Linked DNA regions of Bombyx mori. The main gene of each other region encodes a partner of the protein of the gene in region 2 in a complex. Links are inferred from orthologs where the notes say so. Each region holds a gene or a part of one and is shown on either strand. Other genes may lie near its edges.

Region 1 (7,405 bases), on a different chromosome or scaffold from region 2:
GCCTGTAACCGTCCCAGCGCATTCTCAGACTATTGTTACTCCTACAAATACACAAGGAATGTGTCCCTCCTATTTAAATACTCCACAAAATCAAATAATACGAGAAACTAAAGAACGATTGAAATCTGAAGAACAAGAAAGAATTGAATACGACACAACTAATTTAGAAAAAGAAACTTCGTTCACAACCATTAGATCTAATGGCCCTGCATCTTTAGGTGAGTACATATTATTATATACTACTATAGATTGTAAAGTTTTATTCTTTTAACATTCATTATTCCTCATGTCGCTTACAATAGAATAAAATAGTAGTCGAATTAACAAATGATAGGTGAAAAGGTTTCAAACCAGGTATGCTACTAATGATGCTCAAAATAGTCTCAACTGCTTAAGAAAAAAATACGAGTAATAAATCCCAAAAAGAATTACAAAAAAACAAGATCATAATAGTCAAACTGTTAAGTAATTGTTTGCTGAACCCCTAAAATATAAGATCTAAAACTTGACACCTGAGCCTAGACTTGAATTTTGTAGCTGTAAAGTTTGCTTAGCTTATGGGTGCTCTATTTTATAGAGCACCCATAAGCTAAGCAAACTTTACACCTAAAAATATGTCAAACAAAAAATATTTATTATGGGGGAGGGGTATGATCCAGTATGCTAACACTTTAAATTAAGTTTTAATCTGATTGTAGATAATGTGGGGAAATAGAGGCAGTGGAACTGTGATATTAGTGTTCAGTAATTGATTGATACAGTAGTTAATTTCCAAAATAATGTATTATGTTGTAGTATGTTGGAGATTAGTAGAGATAGTAGGGAGACAGATCTTGCTATTGATAGACACATTAAATTTAACCACAGTAATGAATTAATGTGACACAAAATATTTAATCTTTCTGTAGTTATGTAAAATAATGATAATTTATATTATTTATGAAGATAAAATTAAAAGTACACACAAAGTGAAATGCTATTAGTTTCCAAGTACTCTATGGTTATTTGAGGTAACATACTTGCCGGTTGTGAAACTCTTATTTTTCATTTTACCCTTTTAGTACAAAAATCATGAATCACATCAATTTAACACTTATATAAGAGATATGACTATGATATGACTAAAATATATGACTGGCTACATACATACTAGGTACTTAATAGCATCTTAGGCTACCTGTTAATAGGTTGGGGAAAAAACATGCATTTAAATTTATTGCTACTAAAGCGATTGCGAAAGCTTGATATAATTGAACAATTATTAATCTCCTTTTTGAATGGGTTAATAGAATAAATAACAATTTAGCTATCTCCTAAAAAATATGTACAAACTAATAGTACATAATATTTCAAGATTGATCATTAAAATAAGCGTTATGTAATGTGGTGAAATTTGATCAAAATTATCTATCAATAGTCTATCACTAACAACTATTTGATCTTAGAGTTATAACAACTAAAATTAGAAGACATTTAAGTTTGAAATCATAGGTGTTCTACTATGGCTACAGAGGAAAGACCGAACAACAATAGACGAAATGTCATACTGACAGTTGTTGTCAGATGTCATATCAAGGTTTCAACCAACTGTAGTGATTGATACTTGATTTAATCTGAGTTATCGATTAAACCATCGACGTCTGTGCGATTGATTTTAGCTATCGAGTTTAAATCTTCACACTTTATAATCATGTCAATAAAACATTAAATATTAATTTCATGAAACTGAGAATTAATACCTCATCTAAACTTTTTACTTTCTATCTAGCGTTTTACATTAGCAGTGAATGTCAGTTCATACATAGTTAATTGATTGGTTCACAATCTTATTAAATTAGTAGAGATTTTAAGAAGTTCGTAAATCGATTAAGAAGTATAGATACTGTTTAAAAACGAAATATGTAAATAGATTTATTGATTTATTTTTACAAATACTAAGATCGTCAAAACAGTAAAAACATAATTTAGTTTGTATTACAAGATATTGAAACATTGGCTAACTATAACTTATACTTAACTATAGACTCGACATAAGTAAATTTATTAAAATTATCTACTTATTCGATCATCACGTGGTTTCGAGCTGAATCGATTCCTACGAACTTGCGCACAGCACTAGCTGCATAATTCTTTTGCCGCATGGAAGCAAATTGAAGCAATTCAATATGGCGGCCTTTACTTCACAGTCACGTTGAGTATGGCTGCCTTTTATAAATTTTAAAACATAAGTAAATCAATCTTCGGCCAACTTATTCGGGTTAATTTAACATTTTGAGTAACATTTCAAACTAAGTACTAAAAAAAATATATACTACAAGTGTTAAGAGTGTTAAAAGTCAGACATTCTAGATCCTTGAGTGACCTTTTGGATACTTTCATTTACCATATTGCTACGTTATCGTTACGTATCCTAATTCAGTGAAGTTTTAGTAAATGATTTAAGGATCTAGGAGCTGTGATATAATTTAACTGTCAGTGCCACATAGCGAAGTCTGATATTCAGGTACAGTGCAAGAAACTCCCACGTGGAAATACCTCACGTCTCTATTTTTAGAATAGGTACTTGCTTCTTTAAAAGTGATATGCGAGATATGCGAAATCAACTGCAAAAGCTTTCTGCCATTTTATTTAACGTTTTCATATTTTGCATGTCTAAACTACTCAAAATAAAATAGACGTGAACTTATTATCATATACATTAGCTTTCGGCGTTATTTTAGATACTTGATCCTGTATCCACCGCCTCAATAACGACCACGTAATATTGACAGCTTTCGTATTAGTATACATATAAGTGTGTCATTTAACTTTGATTTACAAGTAACCTCCATTTTGTCAGACGAATTGAAAGTAATCGCTTATTCCTGTTTGATCACTTTCGTGCTTTTAAAAGAAGTTGGTTTCGTATGTCTACTTTTGAAATAGAAAATTTAAATTCAAATGCAACAGTACAACTAAATAATTTAAAGTTTGACCACTAACACACCATGGATACTAATAAAATTAGAAACTAACAGGTAACAGATTTAAAAAAAATCAACATGTGGTCTTTTAAACTGTCACTATGTACTTTTTAGCAAGAAAACGATCTAATTGTAATTTATAGAAATCAAAAATGGCAAAGTAAATAAAAAGTATATTTTTGTTGTATAATATTTAACATAAAAAAAAAATTTAATTAGATTATTTATATTATTATATTTACACTGTTTGTGATTGATAAATGTTTCGAAGTTTTACAAAGGCCAAGCTAGTGTTTCCCTAGATGTTTTATGTTGTAAACAGAAAATTCTCTCTACTATTCTAATGCTCTACAAATGTGATATGACATATTATAAGTAGGCACTGTAGCCTTGATTGAAGTGTCCACAAGTTCCAGTAAGATCCATACCACTTATGCCCTAAGTTGTCTTCTCCTTATACCACTAGGTTACTAAGCTGTAATATGCCTATTATTAGCAAAAACTGTAATTGTAATTTTAATCTAAATTTGTTATAAACAGTAACAAAGTTGTGCTAGTAGTACTTCTAATATTGACATTAAAACACATTTTGCAGTGATTAGTTCAGTTGATAGTTTATCAAATACTACCAACCCTCCAACTAGTCAAAAAATTATAAGTGAAGAATCAACGAAAAACATAGAAATTGTTAATAAAATTATCAACCAAGAAACTGAAACTACAGTTGTTGAACCTAAAACTGAGGTGTTAACGAATAAAACGAAGACTCACATTGATAATACTAATCCTAAAATAACTCAAGAGCCTTTATCAAGTTTTGAAAATATTATTAAAATACCAGGCTCTGAACTTGATAACAAAGAAACATCCAGTGCATTTGATGCTCAGACAAAGTTGACCCAAAGTATATCAAGTGTTTTACGGGTCCAACAACAATCTGACTGTAAAATGAAAGATATTAATCTTAATAGTAAGGCTACAGGTATGTAAATTAATTTTATTTCTGCTAATCTAGCCAATAATTAAATTGTAGGATATGTGTAATCTAAATAATATGTTAACTTTATTAACAGATCCTGACAAAGCTAATGGAAATACTACTGAACCTTTAAGCGAAACTACTAAAGAAGACCTGAATAAAAATGATAAAGCCTTAAAAAATCAAAAGAATAATAACAAAAAATCAAAGAAAATGGCCAATAATAACAAAGAATCAGAGTCCTATGAAAATGGTAAAGATGAGACTGATAAAGTAGTTAATATAGAAGACACCTTGAATGAGGAGTCTGAAGCTAAACCAACAACTGAGAAAATTGAGGCTCCACCAGCACAACCTGTATTTATTCCTAAATACAAGTATAGTGAAGGTCAGTAATTCTCTTCACTAATAATGAATTTAGTGAAAACTAATTAATGCATTGACCACAAATTCATTAATTTTTAGATCAATGGTCTCCTCTGAATAAATCTGGAAAGAAATGTTATGATATTGATTTTTTGAAACAAATAAAGGAAGATCCTCTGTCCAAAAACAAACCAGAGGCTCCGTTGTTGGAAGCTTGCAATGTCATACGAGTAAGTAATTTTCAGAGTATTCATGAAAAGGCATCAAATGCAAACTATCACATAACTTGATGACACACGTTTTTACACAGACTACACCAATGTTGGAACCCCTGCCTTTTGCTAATATTTCAAGACCATCAAGTGATAATTTCTTCCCCTTTGGTAAGAGTTCTGGCTTGGGTTCAAGAAGCAATACTCCTCGTGATATAAAGAGAGAAGGTAGAAATATGACACCAAGTGGTAAGTTATTTAAAATAATTATGCTGAATACATACTAAGCGAATGAAGAGAATCAAATACAAACAAATTAAAATCCATACGTTTGGACAATTTAGCAGTAGCGAATTCATAATTTTTGTAGTCTGATCTAAGGGATAGCACCAGTTCTCTTACAGTATTTGTATCCAGTAATGAGGAACTAATTGGGTTCAAATCTGTAGGCTATGAATTTTTAAAAGAGAACATGTCTTAAATATTTTCACAAAGAATTCCAGAAAGAATATGTAATAAAATCTTACTTTTAAAATTAGTAAACATTGTGTATTTCTTGGTCATTGTATTCTAAGCATACAGCAATAGTAGGTATATTATCCTATCTATGCCGCAAAGCTGACATGTATTCTAATTTGAAGGTTGGGACAACCGTGATACAATATCATTGAGACTGACCTCATGTTCTGATGTGGATTGTGGCAAATATGGTGATGTTTATGTGTTTTAGTAGCCACTTTCACAGTGAGCTTGTTAAACATTGTCAAGATCATTAGATGCGGTGAGCTCTACAGCATGTCTTTTCAAAATAATTGAAAGCAAACTAATTAATGTTAAAATATATTTTGTAATAATAAGATTGAAAACAATAGTGATGAATATGGGAAAACACATAACTTTCATGTTTTTATCATGATGCTGTGTGATTTAATCACAAAACTCCCGGAAAAAAAATGTTTTGTATCTATTGGCGAAATGCGACATCCACTAGTATGTAATTATTTGTATTCATTCGCTTGGTGTGTATCCTCCGTTAAAAGCCTAGTCTTTGTTGAAACTAAATACAAATTAACGAAGGAAACATTTTTATAGGACGTGGAAGCATGAAATTACCTGCTACAGCTAGTGGTAGCAATCCCCACAAACCTGTTATTCATGTTTGTCTAAATGATGATGTGAAATTAAATGAGTCTGATTCTGCTTGGCGACCTACTAGATATGTTAGAGCAGAAAATGCAGATGAAGAAGAAGTGAAAACGCAGGTATTAATTAGTCACCAATTCACATATTATGGAAATTTAATAATGCACTAATCAAATACCTTTTTTTAATTTTATTAGCCTAACTTCAATCGAGGTTTTCTTTTTTTTATTACTTATATCTAAAGAAAAAACCGTCATTTCTACATGATCAAATGAAGTTTTTAATAACTGACTTTGAATATTCTAGTTCCACTGTGACCATATGAATGTGTTTTTATAAAATACTGTGGTCTGTACTGGGACTTTGAACAGGGATTTTGAAAAATTCATAAGCATTGTGTGCATAATTTTAGTGACATGTCAAATTTTATTAATATACAGTAGATCTTGAGGCGCTCTTCTATCTAATTCTTGTTATAATTTGGTCAATTACAAGGCTTAGCAAGGTTGTTTCAATGATATTCCAAACTTTGACAGGTTGACGTTTTTAAGGTTTACTTTTATTATGGCAGGGTTGTTATTGATTCTTTTATTAGTATTATACCATAGTGTATTTACAATTTGAGTACTTTTGAATGTAATCTTTGAGGAATTATAATTTTAAAGAATGTTAGCACACCTACAGTTGAACATTATCACAGCCCAAACCCACTTTTGAGAACAGCCTTTCTATTGAGAAGTTGGTAACTTGTTGGCCCGTAAGACACTTGGTGCCTATGTCCCCTAGTTTCTTTATTATATGAATGTAATACTATTTTTTGTCACTGTCACCTTTCTGAGCTAAACCAGATAATACTCCTTTTGCATGTGGTCAAAATTGGCACTAATGTTTTGCAGTATTGTCTAAAAAAAATAAGTGTCCTTTTCATGTTGTATTATTTTAATATTAAAATAAAAGTTATACAAATATATTTAAATATCAAACATAATCTACAATGCCATAAGCATAACCGAAAATGGGTTGCTAAATGTTTTATGAAAATTGTTATTATGTTTATTGACCTGTAAAGCTCTATGTAAGTATATTGTAGAGCTCTATGTAAGTATATATGAGTCGTCTATGATCAAAGGTGGCAATCTGTGCATTTGGACAAAAAAAAATTATTGATATTTCAATACAGATTTGAATATAATCGTCTCCTTCAAAGAATACTGTTCAAAACCTGCATTAAATAAAGGTTAATACTTAACCTGTTATTTATCTAAGATGTCGTTCAGAAGAGTTTTGTGACTACCAATGGAATATAAAGTCAATAATTCGTTTTTCTGATTTACCAATAATTATCCAAAAGTCACATTGCCGGCTTTGATAATAGTCGACTCATATGACATGTTTAAAAAAAAATTAAAACATGGCCTGTAAAATACCATTTATGCATGCTACTTGTTTAATTACTTTTAGTATTAACATCTCAGTAACATTTGCAATTGTCACACATAAAAATGTCATGGCTGACTAAAGAAGATATGTGCCAAAAAATTGCATTCACATGAAACTTTTAGGATATTCACAAGCCACTAATCATATAATAAATAGCTTATCCAGTAATACCATAACTTCCTTGAGTTTATTTTAACTTATATAATGAAATTATATGTTTTATTCATTTACATAAAACTAATTAACCCTTATAAATAATAATTCAATATATAATTTTAGGAACTATATAAGAAATTCCGAGG
Region 2 (7,896 bases):
ATATTACATCACAGTGGAACTGGATATCGCTCTGAATCGCTACCACTCAGTGCTGCCAACAGTTATACCAGCTTTCCACCGGATTCAACCTTTAAATCCACCAGAAAACCACTAAAATTAAAGTGCTACATTCAACCTCGCTAAATTTTACACTAAATAAAGCTTAATGAAAGAAAATATATTTAGAAATTCCTTTCTTTTAGAAATTAGAAATGAATACCTACTTCCTTTTATTATTACAAAAATAATAATTACCAACGAACATACCATTTCTAGGTAAATCAACATGAAAATTATTCAATAACGACTAATTCTAAATTAAGTCGTCTTCTTCAGATGAATCATTTTTGTCTACACCGTAATCATCGGTTTCAGATTTATATGACTCTTTAGTACCAATTTGATTTACAACGGCTATTTGAATTTTATAACTATTGCAGCATTTTCCTTCCAACCTCAAACCACAGCGCGCTCTCAATATAGCAGTTAAAAAATTTAACTTCATTCTATTCCTCCGTTTGTTGTTTATTTTAATCATACTGCTAAATAGTCTCTCAACATCGGCATCAGAATGAGATAATATTAGGAGACTAATCGCAAAATTCGCTAATTCCTTAAATCTGGGCTCTCCTTGAGTTAACACATGAGATTCGAATCTGTACCCCAAATAACATTTATCGTCTACAAAATCTTGAATATTTTGTGTAAAAATATCTACTTTCTGGGTAGGCCATATTAGTTTGTCAATTAGTGTATCAATCAAATCTGTCAATTTGCCAATTAATTCGAGATTTCTGAATTAATATGTAAATTGTGCTAATGGTTAAGTTTCGTACCTCACCACTGACTGAAACAACAAAAGACACTAGAAAAAACCACTAGCCACTAATATCCGAATTTGTCCGCTAAAAAGTGAGTCTAAACCGCCAGATCTAGTGGAAATTCCACTCAGTTGGCAACACAGCTACCACTACTGCTGCTTACTTCCGCGTTATTGAGAAATTGCAGCATTGAACATCAATAAGGCTATATTACCACAATAATTTACGTCGGTACATACAAGTCCATTGTGATCGTGTCCAAAAAAAATATGTTAATGTAAAAAAGTAATTAAAAATAATATAAAAATAAAACTACATTCATTTTAGTACTTTTTTATAAATACCAAAATTTCAGCACAGATAATAAACCAGTGTTGTGAACTTATAATTTTAAACATTTTAAGAAAAAAAAACAATTAAGTGTATGTTAAACGCATACAATACAAAAGCGTGCAAACATCAACATGAGTGTTAAACATATTATACCAGTTTCCTCACGATAATTTCATAATCTTCCAACATCGCGGGTAGCGTACTTAACCACTTACAACTATGTGACCTTACATACCGACACTCGAGCTTGAGTTTAGTACAAAATCAGACTTTTAACATTCTACAGCTCACGAGGACTATATCATGTCACAATGTAAGATAAATACGACTATAAAAACTAAACAAATACTACTTCTGTTAAATATAATTTTATACTATTATTGTAGTTACGTAAATTCAGTTTATGGGATGTACTGAATATATTTTATTCCATTAAGTTAAACTACTTCAATTAAATACAGTCCGTCCCATAAATCTGCAGATACAAACAAGATATGTAATGCCAAAACTAAACAGTGTATAGATTCTTGGTCGCAGAACTATGCTTAACCATTGTGTCTCTGTGTACTTGGAAACCAATCTTGCCGTGTATCCCTAGCTGTTCTTTCAGTTTTTTCCCAATTTCAATAGTCGCATGCTGCTTCATTGCATCAGCTGTCCAAATAGCTGTTGAAACAAATATTAACAAATTGAAATGTTTAATTTAGAGAAATTAAAGTTACTAAAAATAGTGCACTATGCAGGAAGAGATGAAATAGTAATGTTATTTTCTACTTCACCACAACCAGATTATTTGTCCACCAACATTATTTGTTTGCTAAGATATCACAAATGACTCTTGATCAAGTACAATCATTTTATGTAAACAACCATCTCTGGAAAACATCCTTGTGTCATGCAAGGGTATTTAAAATTGTGTTTTTAAAACTGAATTCTGTGCATAAAACATTATTTACATTGTTAGATGTTATTATGTCAGGAATCCCCGGCAGTGCAAATATCCATACCCCATTCTGATGAAATATAGCATAAGGAGATAAGTATGTGATAAGATAAATGATAAATCATTTAAGATAATACACATTTAATTTTGACTAATTTTCACTAAGATGACCTCGAAGACTCTCATAAACTCTCATTATTGTAATTGTATAAAAGCCTACAACAAAGAGACATGAGACAAATTCAGATGAATTTTATCTTTCAGTCTGTATATTTTTTTATTTATTCCTCTGCACTACAGATATTTTAGGGTTTATAAGGATCCATAATGTTTTAATCATTATCAATTACAAGCTAAACAAATTAAACTAATACATATTGTGATGATAAACAGTTTCCTTTGATACTTCAGTATTGTACGTGCTCATAGATAATAAGATAATTATATGCACTACTGCATATATAATTAGAGAACACAGTACAGCAGATAGTTTAATTTATTTATATTTGTGCATAGTATAATACAATTTAAATTCACAAATCACTTTAGATAATTCTATAATGTGAGTTGTGCATTTACTAATTATGTTTGTTTAACAGATGCTCTGTTAGTGTTTGGCTCGTTTTCCAACATGACCTTGGCTAATGTCATTACTTATTATTCATGTTAACAAGAACACAACAAAACCCTCTAGATATTCATAGAACTTAGAATGTTATGTAATTTCACTAAGAAAATGAAGATTTTTATTTTGAAACTTACCAATTTTATCTACTTTTGGTCTGACATTAACAACAGCACCACAAATCTCATCTGAATTCTCGAAATTTTCACCAATTAAAAGAAGAACCTGAAAATTAAATACAATATCTTCAATTTTAATGCATCTCACACACATCTCTGGTTCCTTGTTGTAGGTGCTTACTGGTCACATCCTTCCACACATCCACATTACTTCAAACAAAGATCAACAGAACATAGAGCCAAGCATACAGCTTGTAGGTAATGAGATAGGAGATGATCCTTCATCTCCTTCCTACAATACAGTTTCTATCTGTAACTGTATTCTAATATTCAACAGGATTTGAGTGGGCAGCCTTAACTATTTGAGGCATGATTTGTGGTTTCTTAGAAACCAATGATCTTAAATAAGCTACAACATCTTATTAAATGTTTATAAACATGGGATAGTGCAATCAAGCTAATATTCACTCACAAACATGTGCTCAGAAAAACTTGTCATATTTTTAGAAAATCTTTTCCTTTCATTATGTCAAACTTGATACTCAAAAAAGAAGTATTCTAAAACGGTATATAATAAAAAAGTTTAACATACCACATCTAACCAGAACCTATCTAAATCAGTAAAGCGTTGTTTTTTCTCAAGACTGATAAGCCATCTTCCTCCCATCTTGTTAGCATCGTCTTCCCACATAGGACGAATGCCTTGCTTGAATACTGCATAGTCATGACCTTGGCGAAGTTCTGACGGTAGCTTAATATGATGGTACAATCTGTAATGTGCAATAACAGTTTTGCTTAAATAAAAACCTACTAATTACTAAATTGACTACTCAGAGTAATTTTTGGCATTTTCTTATTATAATGGAATGAATCTATAGAATTAATGAATGAATACATGTTGACAAAAATAGAAACCATGTTTAGCACAGGGGGCTACGACAGACACATTGTATCTGCCATTTGACATCTATCAGTAAGCAATGAGTAGTCACTGGTTCCATAAGTCACTCATTATTTTTGATGTATTTCTTAAAAGTTTTTTGTGCAAAAACCCCTCAATGATTTTTTGAACATACTTGATGTATTGGTGCGCGAAAGGGAAATATGTCATGGACCTATGGCATCCATCACTCCATTCTACATGTTAGATACATTATTATTATAGAAAATATAACAAGTAAATAAAAGAACAGATGATTAAATCGACAACTAATCACATTAATTATAATAGATACGTAATAATTAGCTCTATAAGAAAGTGTTCTAGTTTAATCTTGAGCAAAATTAATTCTGTTTAAGTTCAGGTTCCATCAGAATTTACTTTCTCATCTAGGTTGCAAATGTATAGAAGTTGCATGAATGTACTTCTAAAATGTATGAAATTTATAATTTACTTCTGTAACCGGCATTTTCCTTTACCTCCAAAAGTCTTCAACTGTGTCGAATGTAGTCAACTCAATAAGATTCTCCTCCCATGTTTTGTTTCGGTCATTGTCGTAAAACCAGAGACTCCACTGGTTTTGTAACGGGTGCTTGATCAAAAATTCAGGGGGCACCTCCGCGTTACTGTTGGTCTTCGTTTCAGTGGTAGTAGACCCCTTAAAAACACAGGTCATTTTTATTAGTGAACCTAACCTAAAAAAAATATTGTTATTTTCGTAGAAGTCGTTTAACGACTTAATCCGGAATATTTTTACACAGAAAACCACTCGAGCGAGGTAAAGTTATAATTTATACTTGAAAACTAGACAATTATGCTAACAAATGTAACAGTGAAAGTTAACGAAGCCACATCAGCAAATTGCGGCAAAATTATAGGTTTTACGATTGTATAACCGGCAAAACGAGGTAGAAAATTACTTTGTTTTCTTAATAATTACATCTACCCACCTCTACTTCTTCTGTAGTATTTCCAGCCATATCTTGAGAGGATAACGATGCAAATTTCCTACGAAAAGGAGCGACAGAGTCAACGGGGTTGCCAAATCAGAAATCGCGTAAATTATTTATTATTTTATAAAGTGGATGTGCGCTAATCATGGTCTAGATTTATTTAAGGGTGTCATTTTTTTGTCTACCTATGTTGGTGATCTCATGGGATTATACCAGCTTCACGAAGCGAGTAGGCGAGTTCACGGGGCTAAGCCTGGTGAATTTGCTAACACTAGCCCTATTAAGAACAGTGCTTCGCAGTATCTACCACCAGATCGGAAACACGACCCACTGAGAAGATTCGGCGAGAAACTCAGTGGGCTGATTAACTCAGGGTTAATTTGCTCGCCGAACCCTTCGTCGCATTCGAGAGGAGTGACGAGAATGGTCACCAGTACTGGGGGGTGCCTAAAAGCACCGATAGTGGATCGCGAGGATCCGAAATGACGTGTTTTGGGCAAATGGAAAATATTAAATCACGGCATTTCCATCATCACCTTATAAACACAGGCCTTTTCCGAAGTTGGCTACAGTGACCAGTCGAGCAGATCTCGTGACCTTCACCAGGTCGGTCCTTCGAACCGTTGTGAAAGGCCTACCCACAATGCGCCTTACAGCGTGCGATTGCCATTCGAAAACTTTTGAGCAGAGTAGCCACCTGTCTTACCAGCAATATACCAAAGCATAGCTGTGAAAAGTTGTTTCGCTGCTGACCTCTATTTAGAACTAGCTAATAGAAATCATCGTATGATATCCTTATCTATGCACAACCTCTTTTTTTAAAGGGATTTTATGACCTGGTAACTAAGACCATTAAGTCTTATTTTAATTTATTTTCTTATGTTTATGAAAAATGATAATATGGAGTCAAATGAAATGAAATGAAAATGAAACGAAATGAGATGAAATATAACCTCAGTAAAATGGTGATCATTTACTGAGACTTTTTCAGTGGACTTTTTGGAGGATCCCGAGAAGCTACGTTCAGCGGCTTTGTTTCATTTTCCCACATTTGTGCACTTTCTCAGATACTAAACAGTTAATAAATCACCGTTATTACACATTTACACCTGAAGAAACACTAAATAGACAAAATAAAACAAATCACACAACTTCACTTCTCGAGTTCCCGCCAAAAAGGCATGCACAACCCTATGCGAGCACAGACCGGAAATAAATTCATAATAAAATTGTAATTTGTAATTCACAATTCACCAAAGTGTATAATCTATGCAATTCACATTATTGATCGGTTTCAAAACTCCGTGTGCGTCGTCTGGTTTGCCGGCTTAATCGACGGTTAATAATTAGATTATACAGTAACAAAACAAAATTTAATACATCACTGTAAAATGTCAGTTCACAATATCTTATTGGATTTCTCGATTGAAGCGGCCCGTCTGGAAGATGAAAACGGCCAAAAAGATATCTTTGGACAATTGGAAACTCTATTAAAAGAATATATACCAAATTTGATCCTAGCCACCGACATAAAATTGGAAGATGGTTCATTGAAATTATTAACCGGTAATAAAGGAACGACTGTATCCGTTAGGATGTTTGACCGAGGTTTCATTACTTTAAATATTGAATTTTACAAGGGCGGAAATGAGGAGTCCGTGATCGATCACAAGGTGAGGATTATATCGATTGAATGTATTGAGTGCTATTATTTTATTTTGGCACATTATATTATTATTGTAAAGTCTTTGCGAAACTCGGTAGAAAAAATAAGAAGTACTAAAAATAGTTTAACCATTTTATCATATGATCTTTTCTATGCATTGTTAAAAATACTAAGATTTTAATTTAAAAAAAATTAAGCATTAACTGAAGGACCAATTTTTTTATGGACTACCTTAATTGCATAAAAATTTGCAAGCCTTCAAAGTCGTTGTAATACTATCTTGCTTATTTTAATGTAGAGGACAGTTATTAATTTAATGGAAGTTATACCTCTACCGGGCAACTTATTTGCAATTAACTCATTCAAAGAATCCTGAAAACAATAAAAATATAATCTGCAATTTTGTTCACAGACTGCCAAAGAACTTGAAAGCAAAATTAAAAAATATATTTCTAGTATAAAGTCACAAACATATATTCCACTAAAGAGATGTTTGTTTGGTAGATATTATCCTAGTTCAGGTATGTAAATGGCACTAATTTTCTATTGATTAATTTCAGGTCGTTCATAATTTTTGATACCTCCTACTCATTCATTTCTAGCAGTGCATGCAAGCTCTCAATTTCTAAAAAAATTAAAAAATTTCAATATTATGTTCCTTAAATAACCCTCCTTAAAAATCTAACAAAGATACTATGAGTACATAACGAGAAAATCTTTAGTTCCTCCTGATAACTTCAAAGCCCACCTGGTATTAATCAATAACCTTGGTATGAGGTTCGATTTTACCTGAAAACTGCTATCTTACTGGATAACTGCTTTAGACCATAATACACAATTGCTTCTCAATAGGAAAATGGTACCACCTCACAACAGGCCAGAGTCTAGTGCTCAGATTTAAAGTTAGGTAGAAATAAGGAAGGAAAAGACAAAATGCCACCACCACAGAAAGACAATGAAGAAGCCTTATAGCATTACTTTAAATGGCACATAAATATTTTTTTTATCTTATGAATTTTAAATCTATAGATGGACGTCTCCTCGAATATGATATTGATGAAGTTGTATTTGATCAAGAATCTCCATTCCAAAGAGTTCAAATTGTTCATTCTAAGTCATTAGGAAACATGTTAGTGCTGGATGATTTACAAAGTAAGTGTAATTGACTTTTTAAAATTGTGTACAGTAAAATTTTTGCATTAGTAAAATTGATTAATCTCTGTAAAGTGATTAGATTGCTTTGCTTAAAACAGCTGTCTGGTTTATTTAAAAGTGACCCCATAAAAAATTGGCCAGTGGTTTTTTTTAATGGACTGGAAGGAAATTCCGGTGTCACACAAGTTAACTTAAAAAAGTCCAGACGAAAACAACAACTAAAATATGATAAATATTTATAGATGTAAACTTATTCCCAAAAATAAAATGGAAAAGTGGCTTTAGTGGGAACCCACTCCTATATTCATTGTTTCTTAAACTGCTAGACAAAATCAAGATTG

What was found.
Region 1: the proteins of mRNA cap-binding protein eIF4E (region 2) and eukaryotic translation initiation factor 4 gamma 3 are in contact, whole or in part, in a crystal structure (PDB 5T48), measured with the Drosophila melanogaster proteins. The link is inferred for Bombyx mori from reciprocal best matches to the Drosophila melanogaster genes eIF4E1 and eIF4G1. Residues at the interface, in NP_001261626.1 of Drosophila melanogaster: Lys80, His81, Pro82, Leu83, Met84, Val113, Trp117, Tyr120, Asn121, Leu174, Asp175, Leu178, Ile181, Gly182, Glu183, Ala184; in NP_001137857.1 of Drosophila melanogaster: Tyr605, Trp610, Pro612, Lys619, Gln620, Tyr621, Arg623, Leu626, Leu627, Leu629, Arg630.

What each region holds. Positions count from the first base shown.
Region 1 is NC_085107.1:10,291,891-10,299,295, reverse strand, and holds part of eukaryotic translation initiation factor 4 gamma 3, read left to right. Parts: coding exon 1-218; intron 219-3,558; coding exon 3,559-3,945; intron 3,946-4,036; coding exon 4,037-4,330; intron 4,331-4,407; coding exon 4,408-4,538; intron 4,539-4,618; coding exon 4,619-4,769; intron 4,770-5,612; coding exon 5,613-5,782; intron 5,783-7,382; coding exon 7,383-7,405.
Region 2 is NC_085128.1:2,390,544-2,398,439, reverse strand, and holds mRNA cap-binding protein eIF4E, read right to left. Parts: upstream 5,169-7,896; 5' UTR 4,762-5,168; coding exon 4,732-4,761; intron 4,440-4,731; coding exon 4,261-4,439; intron 3,612-4,260; coding exon 3,434-3,611; intron 2,948-3,433; coding exon 2,860-2,947; intron 1,821-2,859; coding exon 1,663-1,820; 3' UTR 1,265-1,662; downstream 1-1,264. Other genes in the region: spermine synthase, read left to right, coding at 6,126-6,407, 6,813-6,921, 7,430-7,552. UniProt on the Drosophila melanogaster protein: Recognizes and binds the 7-methylguanosine (m7G)-containing mRNA cap during an early step in the initiation of protein synthesis and facilitates ribosome binding by inducing the unwinding of the mRNAs secondary structures.